Neodiprion lecontei: one gene and its partner. The main gene of each other region encodes a partner of the protein of the gene in region 2 in a complex. Links are inferred from orthologs where the notes say so. Each region holds a gene or a part of one and is shown on either strand. Other genes may lie near its edges. The genes, in order: protein TRC8 homolog and sterol regulatory element-binding protein cleavage-activating protein.

Region 1 (6,716 bases), on a different chromosome or scaffold from region 2:
TATTTTTTTAAATACATGTTTCCTGTACACGTCTGATATCCGTGCATAAAAATTTCACATCGATTGACTATTTTATACTTTTATATTCACGGAGTCACGAATTTTGTGAAACCTTTGATGAATTATTTTGCGATACAGAGAGTACTTTCACAGTTTGAAGATAATGCGAATTACACGTTGTTTAAATATCGTCAATTACGCGGTAGTTGGTTTCTTTTTTTTTTTTTTTTTGCTTTTGCATAATTCTGGAGAAATGAAATATTTTTATAAATATAAAAGAGGGTTTACGATTCATTGACGTTCATTTATAAAATATATTGTTTATTATACATATAAGATATTATATTTCTCGCTTAATTATATCTATCAAAATATGATATTATTATTATTATTATTTTTATTACTGAAAGGTGCGATATAGAGCATATTTATGTGTATGCGTGATGGGTATACAGGAATATAAACGTACTACTACCTATAGTTTGTATTTATGTTTAGTATACAATGGTACTTGCGCGAAATGAAACGCATATACGTTAATAATTGTTTCGGGTATGAACGAATCAGGGACTCGGATAATATGAAAATGAAACATATAAATTCACAAAACAGAAAAGAAACAAATCAAAGGTCTATACGTACCTATTGGTTATTTACAACCACCGGTTAATATTAGTCGTATTTTTGTTTTTTTGGTGTTTTTTTTTTTTTTTGTGCTTAGCATATATATACACATACGAATACCCATCAAAAATTAAACTTTACACATTATACATTATGCCTATATTTGCTGCACTTGTTGTATTTAAATGAATACACAAATACAGGTGAAACGTGTGTTTATACGGAGATTAAAACACACGTAATAATACGTATCGTATTGCGGTACGAATTTCTTTTCGATTGGTTTTAATTTTTTTTTGTCTTTAACATTTCACACTGTGTTGTTTGACTCGTTTCACATTTCTCGTTCTCTCTTCTTTTTGGTCGTTTTATCGTTACTCAATGCATTTTCTTTCCTTACCTCATCGGTCATTCTGTATTAGATACGTAAATTAATTCATCGATGACAAGTAGGTAGAACGTAACATGTAAAGTAAATTATTATTTTTTTCCAACAACATCGTGGTTTATTCCCGTTAATCGATCAAGGAATAATCATTTATACGTATATTATATGGGCTACCGACGAAGATTTGGTATGAGTAAAAAGGAAGAAAACTAATTATCGTCTTTATTTAGTGTAAAAAAGAATGAAATAAAGACGCAAATCGCGTTTTAAAGTAAAGCGAGGTAAGGATTGTTCCTACAAGAATATTTACTACAATATAAGAAAAGTGTAGAAAGAAAAAAAATGTTGAAACTTTTCTTTTTTTACAGAAAAATTCCATTTTCGGAATTTAGGAAGTACCGCGAGAGAAATTACGGATTGAGAGAGAGAGAGACACATGTAAGTAGCAATTGTATAGAAATGTAAGCTCATGTTATACATAATATAATTAAGGCGATACTATACGATCACAGAATAATTAATCCAAATTAATAATTGACGTACATGTATAGCGGCTTACATTTATAATAAAGTATTGGATAGATTTCTAAATTATTATCATTATTATTATTTTTTTTATATGAGTATATAATAATAATAATAATGATGATGATGATAATATACATAATATACATGATATAAAATATGTGGAAGTTAGTTCCTATAATTTCTATCGTCGTTATTATCTCTATTTACCTACCTTATAGTTACATAAATAATAAATTGTTTCATTTTCTTCGTTTCTTGTTTTCCTTTCTTTCGTCGCTAGTTTTCTATTTTTAACGGTATTTTTCGTATTTTTTTTCTTCTTCGATTTGGTAGGATTGTATGACATACAAGAGTTTAAAATGTATGGACATGGCGAATTATCCATCTATCTAAACCCGGAAGTATGATAAAGTGTGATACGAAACGTGTCTAATAATAGTAATAATATTAATAACAATAACAACAACAATAATAATAATAATAATAATAAACTTGCACATCGATTGTTGATTCTGAGGAACGGAACAGAGGGGAAGAAAAAAGACAAAAAATTAAATATAGTAAAAGAAACAATAAGAAAGAAGGAAGAAAAGAACAGTAGCCTTGGTCAAATTACACTTGGACTTGAAACGATACCCTCGCACAGTGTGACAATATCAAACTCCATTGTATAACATGAAATAACAATATAATTTATTTTTTATAATAATTATATCACAATATAGCTAGACGTTAAGCTTCACCTGTCTTCGTTAAGCTGTTCAACGTATCGTCTATAGTTCGGACTTCGCAATCCGTTCCTCTGCAGTCCCTGGTTCTGGTACAACTCATCGATTTCATCTTCGTTTCGCCTCTCCTGATCAGTGAGAGCAGAGACATTGTCTTTGCTGTCTTGCGGACTGTCAACTTTGTACAAAATATCATGGCACAGCGGACAGCGATCCTGAACGTACAACCACTTTCTTAGACAAACGCCGTGGAAGTAGTGATTGCACCTGGTTATTTTAGCGCTTGACATTTCCTGGTAGCAAATAGCGCAAACGTCGTCGAGCTGCATAAGCTGCTCGGTCCTCGCCTCTGGCAGCGAGTTTATCTTGTTCACGGCCGTTCTCCTCTTCATGAATACGCTCCATCCGGCCTTTGCTTCGCACCATATGTTGAAGTAGGCGTGCACACACATCATGACTGCTCTTATTAGTCCGCCCGACTCGTACACGAGGATCCATAGGCCGTTGAAGAACAGAAAGATCCCGAATGCAAATTCCACGGTGTTACCGAAGGCGCGTATGTAGTAAACGTAGTCGTCCAATTGTTCCCAGAACGTGTGACGGCACGCGTCGTAAAGGAACAGCGAGTATATCGCCAGCGATACGAGGACTTTTACTATAACCTCTATGCTAAAAGCCGAGACAGCGAGCAGCCAAGTGCTGACCGAGTATTGCGACCACAGCAATACGAGGAGATAAACCGGAAACATAATCAGAAAGGCGCAGACCAACAGTGCTCGGAAGTGCCTGTGAAGAGCGGGATTGTGCGACGCGCTCAGCGACATCAGTAGAGGATTGACTATATTGTGAACAAAGTGGAGAAGCGCTGTGAACAGGAGGCAAAAGTTTCGGCACAATCTTACCAACCGCATTTCTCTGTCCAGACTGGTCAATCCTGTTTGGAGAGCCAGGATGTAGAAAAGAATCGCCGATACCGTTCCGATGCTCTTGCTGTCCTCCTCGTCATCGTTAAGTAATATCCATTGGAAGAAGCAACCGATGTAGTGGCAGATGAACGATATCACGCTCGTCATTCCTAGAACAGCTGTAAGCGTCTCGCAGCCGTTTATCAACAGAGTCCTGACCATCACGTAATACGTGAACGTATCTTCCCCGTAGTGGTTTCCCATTATTTGTATAACTTGCTCGCCCACTCTAAGCATCCAAAAAATCCGCAGAACGCAGGGCACGTTCAGCCGACTCCATTCCGCCTCCACCAACGCCGAGAGACCGTAGCTGCTGATAAACGTTCGAGCGTGCTGGTAACCTGAGTATATGATGCGGCCCATCGCCACCGAGTTGTACCAAATTACGAACTTTGACACTGCGAGCGGAAGCAGGGTTGCGAAGACTGGAGCATGGTTCAGAACTGTAATCTGTGAAACGAAATTTCTAACTGTTAGATGGTAAAAGAAATGCCAAACCGATCATCTTCGTTTTGTTGATAAATTTTCAGGAATGGTTTCAAGGCTGATGCTAAACTTATTGGGCGAAGAAAGTGAATATAAATCGAGGTGACCATGCTAGTCCAAATGTCAACCGTTATTCGAAACACACCATATTTCAATTTCTCAATCGTAACTCACGGGTATCGGAAGAACTGCGAATATGGAAGGAGCCATGAAACTGAAGACGAGAGACTTCTGTATAATGGAAAATCTCGGAGCAAGGTGAACGTAGCAGAAGATAAGGGCGAGAGTGCACTGGAGGATGTAGTTCCGGATGACAACGACTCCCGGTCCGTCAGGATTCAGCACCTTGGGTATATCCAGACACAGCACATCGTCCAGGATACTCGTCGCTGTCTCATTTGCGGTGGCGTACCAGATGACCGCCTTCATGGTGCTGACGTTCGACCAATATGACACGAATATCACACCGACCGATATCAGGTAGAGGTAAACGACGACGAGGTGTTTCTTTTGCAGCATAATGCCGCAAAGTGCTGCCTCGCATGCTGGAATAGAGAGAAATAGAACGTTGCCGGAAAGGAGAAACAAAAAGCGACGAAGCAGCGAAGCGATCTTTCCACGAATCTCTCTATAACTATACATAAGGTAGTTGAAATCATCCAGTGATTTAACGTGATGTACAACAAAACTGAAACGGTTATTGATACTTGCATAGCTACTGTTTGCATTTCTTTTATGCCTCATTTTGATAAAAATACTTCCTTTAATTTGACCTTCTCCTTCATAAATTTTCTAAGCGAGTAAATACCTTCTAAGTGACTTGCAAAGTCAAGTGCCCCACATAATTTATTCATTGACCTGTTTCAGTTACCGCTTTTAAAAACTACAGCAGTGAGCCAAGTTTTAATCGTTGGTTGTGCATAGAACGGAAATAACTGATAGCAGGTTTGTAAAAGGGTAACCGATAATGAGGTTTTTTTACTTTGGCTCCTTACCTAAACAGCACAAGATGAATTTAAAGAGCGTGAGTAAGTACGACTGGTAGATGTGCTGACTCAAGTTTAGCTGGTGGAGCAAACCGACCTCGGGTGTAATGCCAACCAGCGAACCAACAATGGAATCAGGAACGCTGACGACTTTGAATTCATTGTTGACGTCTTCAAGGACTATGTTTTCGCCGGGCAAGCCAAGGCCGATCCTGAGCAGTTCGTCGATAATGAAAAGCGGCGGAACCCTCATAACGACATCGGCGAAATTAAGCGCCTTATTTCTAATGGTGGTCAACATATTTTCCAAATCTTTAAGGACGTCAGAAAGGTCGACTATTTTGCACTTTCTCTTTCCTTGGGTAAGGCTACTTTTTTTTTTTATTATCAACTCTCCATACTTCCAGTCTCTCCCAGATTAGCGAATTTTCTTGTCTTTTTTTTTCTTTTATTCTATCTAGTTTCACTTTCTTCCGTATGATAATAAAATTTCTACAGTTTTCCCCACGACGATACTTCGGTTTAATCGAGAATTATATTTTCCTCAAATTTTGTTAAATTAATGAACCCTGTTGTCATAATTGGCACGGTTACGCTGAGCACTTTCCCTTCGATTTATTTCACAACGATTTTGATTATTTATTAATTTGATCAGTCAAAGGTCGCCTGCTAATTTATTTATTCATGTATTTATGTACACAAAATTCCAGATTATTAATCGAGGTTACAAAACACGCTGCAGTTCTCAGCCTGCCTGCCAGCCAGCAACACCAGCTGCGCATCACCAACCAACCAGCAGGTCTTGACTTTTTAAACTACATGCTATGCAGCAACAGATGGAGCTTGCTGCCTGCGGTGAAAAACTTTCAACCGTACAATAGATGTTTTTTTATTTTCGTTATCTTATCGCGTTAGTATAAATAACGGTTATTGACGAACGAGAGAACGAAAACAAAAGGGAAACGGAGAAAGAGTTTTAGTTGATAAGTACTTTACATAATATACATCGATTTCCTTATTTATTTCTCATATGACGCATTTTTTATTTTTTTTTACACCCACCTCGCATCGCCCGTTAAAATTCTATTTACACGCCGAGTTTGCGCCAGATTTTTCGAATAGTTATTCGTATACAGTCTCGAACTGCGATATGTGCGTGTATGTTATCTTCGCGGAAGATTTCGCCGTCACGATCCGTTTACTCATTCTCATATCGCAGACAGATGAACATGTATCAACCTTTTACGGACGGGCAAAATTTCAGTTAAAATCGACTTTGTGTTAGAACGTGATATTTATGTATGATTTCAATGATTTCAATGATTTGAAGTTCCCAACCTGACTGCTGGATGATATATCGACTAGCCCCGCCGTTAAGAGGTTAAATAATTTCCACTAAATGCACGAAATATTCGTGAGGACCTGTGGGTCCGCGATCGATCACGGGATGGCGGTTTAGTGTGGCGAATCAATTTTTTTCACTCCAACTAGCCAGCCTGTCAAACCCGTCGATTTTATCTTGCAGCAGCTGTCTGTGCAGCTGATGTATACCGCGGTGTTTGTAGCATATAGAGAGTAAACACAGCCGCCATAAATAGCTGTCACTTTGCCGTACGTACTTCTTTTTGACCGACTGAAACGTCACTCGTTGCAATTTGCCGGAAGAAAATAAAACTCACATTTAGGAAAATATTTGCACCCGGAAAATTATGATTCATCTTAATGAATATTTTCACTTCAAATCACTCTGCTACTGATAAATTATTCAATGTGAGAACGGAAAATCATCCGGCAATTCGGTTATTTAGTTTTTCCGAGGTACTTATTTTTGGTTAGTGACAGTTCGGAGTCACGTTCATTCCGTCGGTAATTCAGTCACGTACTTTCGCCCTGCGTTTCATAACCGTATGTTCTTTATTGGTTATGTTTTTCAGTCACAACTCACATCTGACGTTCAGTTTCGTTTGCACTTTATCTCCGTAGTGATAATCTAAATTCAAACGTGGAATCA
Region 2 (5,129 bases):
CAAACATTATTTCTGCAAGGCTGATCTTGCTCTTTTGCAGATTCTACACAAACATTAGAGAATTATATTTCAAGCGTCAATCATTTCAAGCTATTGGTTGCACCAGTATTGTTGGGATATCGATAGAGATTTTTACATTTTTCACAAGTTCCTCTAAGCCCCCAACCTTGCCGGAGAGTTAGATTCAATCGCTGATATGACATGCGTGAGAAAGGAAAAGATTGAGTTTTTGATAGTTAGTTACCTGATACGAGTAAATAGTGTTGATAAGATTGGTGTCCTGATTGAAGAGCTCCAAACTTTGCTGCCATAGATTTGCAGGTGACAAAACAAGGCAGTTGTATTCCGGTAGAACATCTGGTTTTTTGGCATTTCTTCGTTTCACAGCCTCGACGTGGAGGCAAACCTGACCAAGGGTCTTTAGTCTGAAATAACAAATGTGCATGGAAAGTTGGGCAACTAATCTTTTCTGTAGGAACAAAATCCATTGATAAAGTTGCATCGTTACGTTTCTGGGTCCTGATAGTTTCTAATGATTTCCAATAAATTAAATATTTCATAAAGCGGTCCTCTGAATGCATCCGTCAAGCTGAGGTCTTCGGTCCATGGGACAACTCCCACCCTCAATGTTACTTGTTGCACGTATAACGCAGGGGTTTCCGAACCGTTAACAAACACCTCTGTTTGGTTTATTATTGTTCGAGGAGCATTTCCTGGCATAGGAAGATTCACTAGAGGATAGCTACAAGAAAATTGCATAAATATCAATCGCAGTACTGATTTGCTAAAAACATTTGTTATATATCAGTTTCTCGATATGCAGTATTTCCAAACATTCAGATACGGTCAAGCAGATAAACGTTTTTTTTGCCCCGAATGCTTGGACTAATCTTTCAACAAACTGTTAATGACATTATGTTACCGATAAGATATACCAGAATGATAAATATAATGACTAACCAGCATAGCAAAACGACAGATATTGCTAATGAAATTACGGCAACGGGATGCGATGAACAGAATAGGCCGTGGGCATAATAAAGCCCTGCCACTCTGTCCGGCAGGCTGCGGGACATTTCACATCAAGGACACGTTGCCAACATATCCTAGGCAGAGACAAATTTCCAGCGTCACTTCTCCGCTGATAACATATAGGCTTGGATTTAGTGACTTGTTGAATATCTGTAATAAAAAAGTTACTTGACTTGGCGATCATTTAAAAATAGAAGAAATAAACAAGGCAAGACTGCAGTTCAATCGTCCCACCTTGAATGATCAGATAAATTTTCATTGAATTAGTGTACTTCAAGATGTTATGTCTTTCTTAGGAAATACTTTAACTTATATTAACAAAATACAAGAAATTTCAGAAGGAGAATCTTCAGTGACGTTTTATATTTTGTTTTTAATTGCATTTTGATAGAATACCACACATGGTTACGAGATTCTGAAGAAATTGTTGAACGCACAGGGTTAGAAGCCGGCACGCTGGTTGAAAATGCACACACACACACAAGAGTTTAAATTAAAGAATATTATGTTTCGAACAAAATTCAATTTTTGAATAAAAGTGATTTTAGCAAGAGCATTGTATACATTGAAGCGTTAATTGAAAATCAACATTTTCCAAAGCCTCTGAGTGAAGCGTAGCATCGATATTGACAAAAATAGAAAACTACAGCGGGTCAATTTGTCACAAGATAAGTAAACCACTTTAAATCCGTAGATATTTTTGGAGCTTTTAGCTGAATAAGTGGAACATCCTCGACGGGCTGCATTGCGGTTAGTCAAATATTATCTAGAAGTGATAAAGTAGTTGGGCTCGGTTGGAATCCGTTGGAATTCCGGTTCTGAATAAAACCTAAATATGACGCAATTACGTTTCGCCTCGGGTATTAAAAACGAAATAACGTTTATATGTATATACATGTGGAAAGAATCCGAATCGCTGGGAGCGCGGATTTATCTTTGCGGCTATCGATGTTAAACGCAGCGAAAATCCGGGTGAAGGGAGGAGGGATGAAATGTACTTACAGGCGTTAAAAATACCCCACGACGACAAAACGTCGACGCGACACGTATTCTCTCCAAACTTTTCTCCGCCAGTGGGACAGAGAGATATCCGTCGTTGTCCGCTTTGAGGTTATGTTCGCAGTGTGGTTATGTTGTGTTATGTTACCAGGTATGCTTGCCGTGCGGTAGGCAGTAAACCGTCGACGGCAAGTCTGCTCGACCAAAACGCACACTAATAAATCATTTGATAAAGCTAACGCGTTCAATCTTCATCCGTATGAATTTTCCACTATGTCTAAAAATCGAAGACGTCATATTTAATTCGGCGAAACGCCGAGCTACGACGACGCGATGCTCGTGACAAGATGCCCAATTACGTATGTTACTGCGTGTGTCACCGCGCGTGAATAGTTAGTTTAAAAACTTGGAGTTTCAAGGTGCACCGCACAGGAAAGAAGCCAATATTCAATGTGAAACTTCACTCGTGCACCGAGGCGAAATACCGTAATAGGGACTCATACATGCGTAGCGGAATACATACTGTACGTCGGGTATGCACCTGTATCATACCTATAAGTCACCGACAGTCATTTATTTTTAAACCATTTATCAGGCACGAGAAGTCCGATTTCGTTGTGACGAGTAGCAGCGTCCGCGCACAAACACCGTCAATAACTATATTCACCGCGTGTAAGGTGCGGAAATATCGAAATGAAAACCATCGGAGGATAATTTTGTCTCCCAGTGACAGAGACAAATATATTCAATCGAATCACTCCTCGTCGCACGCACGTTACGGCGTGAATACACGCGCACGCAACGCACGCATACGAAAGTAGAACCTTGAATCGGTGCCCTCAGAATCGGTAGAGGCATGAAACGCAACTGCACGTTAACGCCCGAATGATAAAATTAAGTAACGCGAGTAGCTAGCGGGCGCGAAGCGACGCATAAATATGCCTTCGGAGCTTCGGTTTTGCTGCTGAATTAGTTGCCGTTGCTCCGAAACCAACTGCGACGATTTATTGACACACGCATGTTACCGCCTCTCGCCTTTCACGCGAGATCCCGCCTATTTACGAGAAAATGCGTGTGTGCGTTGCTTATGACGTACGTTATTTTAATTACGCGTTGTATAGTTATCGATACGCGACCTGCAGCGGTCAAATCTACACTACATACGTACGTACAACGGCCTGCACGGTGGCAAGGCAAAATTTTCATACATCGATGCATTCGTAGATCGTTATATTGATATGCAATGTAAGCGCTCGTACTCGGTGCATCGTTATGTGGGTATTACGCACAGAGGAAAGAATTCACCGCGGAATGATTTATTTGATCGAGAAAAAAAATCATGCCAAGTACGTCAGGGGCGTGTACGATTGTGGCGATCAATCAGGGGCTAGGTCAGACTGCTCGCTTAGATTTATAAAATCCGAATGGTATAACTTCTGCTGTTAGATTTTGTTTGAAAGGCAATAGACTATCCTCTTCGCAAGAAAGATGAGGGAAATAATTAATTACATATATTTATATTGGTAGAACTGAAATTATGGAGCCGATACAAGTTTGTTCTATAGTGCCTAACTATTAAAGGTTCTCAGAATAAATGGAACTGTATATTTGAATCAGTGAAAATTCACTGACTCCCAGTGACAATTTTTTTTACTGTGCATACACTGATTTTTTCCAGTGGTATATACTTATGACTGATCGATGTTCAGAGAGAAGTCGAGAAACAGTTAGACTTCTGCTGTATTTTAATCCTTTCATGCGTATATTCTTTTTGTTTTTTTAGATGCGATTCGCTTTAAATTTTACATACACGGGCTTTTGGGTCGTCGATTATGAATCTGAATCCAAAATTCGACTATGCAAAATAGCGGATCCAATATGGCGGACAGACAAGAAGAAACAAGAAGAAACATTTTGAAAAATTTCTGTAGAACTTTCTAGTGTGTATTAAGTCTGTGTACAAAATTTGCATTCATTTGCATGGTAGATTAGTAGAAAATGTTGTTTTTTTTTCGTGGAAAAGTACGAATTTCGACCATTTGTTTACATGTGCTATCTTTGCAATAAGTAAATAAATAAATTATACATTTTTTTTTGTACTTGGAAATATTTCAGGGACCATGCGGAACAAAAAACTCGATAGTTGTTACCAAAAAGTAGTTTAGTAAATAAAAAGTTGCAAAAAAAGATAGGACGCTGAGCGTCCCAACGTGAATTAAAGGGTTAAATATGCTATTTCGACGTCTTCTTGCCTCGTTTTGTGCGGGTTTCAAGATAACTTTCCGTTAAGCACGCACTTATAAGTGCAGATGGAAATCCTTGCGAAATAGATCTATGCGTAAAAAACAAACAAAGAAAGCAAAACATGGTCATCTATCTCCTCTATCTTTTTATTCCTTACATTGGTACCGTACTCATATTTTATTGTGGCCAGGTGTTCACGATTATATGCGAAACACATTCATTTTATAAGAACTTTCGGTCGATTGAAATTTGTAGTCTAAAACGAATTTATTCAAGCGAATGGTTTGTTGCTGTATGCTACGAATTATAGTATCGAAGTGTGTTTGAAGTTTAACAAAAAAAAAATTTGAAACATTTGTCCTGGAAAAAAATGATGAACACCTGGTACAATTTTTGCTTCACAGTGATTCGAATGTAGTAGAGGTGGAAATATTTCAATTTCTCAAGACTTTTTTCGCATAAGAATAATCAATTCGTACATAACTACTTATGATTTATGCACGACACTTTCGATTATTTCAAGTATTGACCTATCCCTGAACTGAAAACAATGTTTATACGAATATTTCGAATCTCTTGAGTACCCAATATATCTGCACAACCTGATAATCTGGGGACTTTATCATTTTACACATTAACAGATATATTATCATCCTCGTGTAGTCCAGAGTGAATCATATCAATAGAATTGCGTACGCGGACAGTAAATTGCGGCCTTGATTTTGCGAGAATTTTTGCAATCAGTTGCGACTGACTAAAGTCAAGTTTGCATTACTTCACTTACGATTAGGACCGATATCTATACCGCAAGTTTTCTATACATATTTGGGAGACCCGATGCCGAAGTCCTGCAG

The links.
Region 1: sterol regulatory element-binding protein cleavage-activating protein (region 2) and protein TRC8 homolog share a complex: the UniProt entries of both Homo sapiens proteins name them as parts of the SCAP-SREBP complex. The link is inferred for Neodiprion lecontei from reciprocal best matches to the Homo sapiens genes SCAP and RNF139.

What each region holds. Positions count from the first base shown.
Region 1 is NC_060262.1:4,895,748-4,902,463, reverse strand, and holds protein TRC8 homolog, read right to left. Parts: upstream 5,007-6,716; coding exon 4,715-5,006; intron 4,265-4,714; coding exon 3,894-4,264; intron 3,684-3,893; coding exon 2,280-3,683; 3' UTR 658-2,279; downstream 1-657. UniProt on the Homo sapiens protein: E3-ubiquitin ligase; acts as a negative regulator of cell proliferation through mechanisms involving G2/M arrest and cell death.
Region 2 is NC_060263.1:41,192,545-41,197,673, reverse strand, and holds the start of sterol regulatory element-binding protein cleavage-activating protein, read right to left. Parts: upstream 3,177-5,129; 5' UTR 2,584-3,176; intron 2,416-2,583; exon of another isoform or gene 2,035-2,415; intron 1,183-2,034; 5' UTR 1,077-1,182; coding exon 961-1,076; intron 743-960; coding exon 509-742; intron 426-508; coding exon 245-425; intron 44-244; coding exon 1-43. UniProt on the Homo sapiens protein: Escort protein required for cholesterol as well as lipid homeostasis.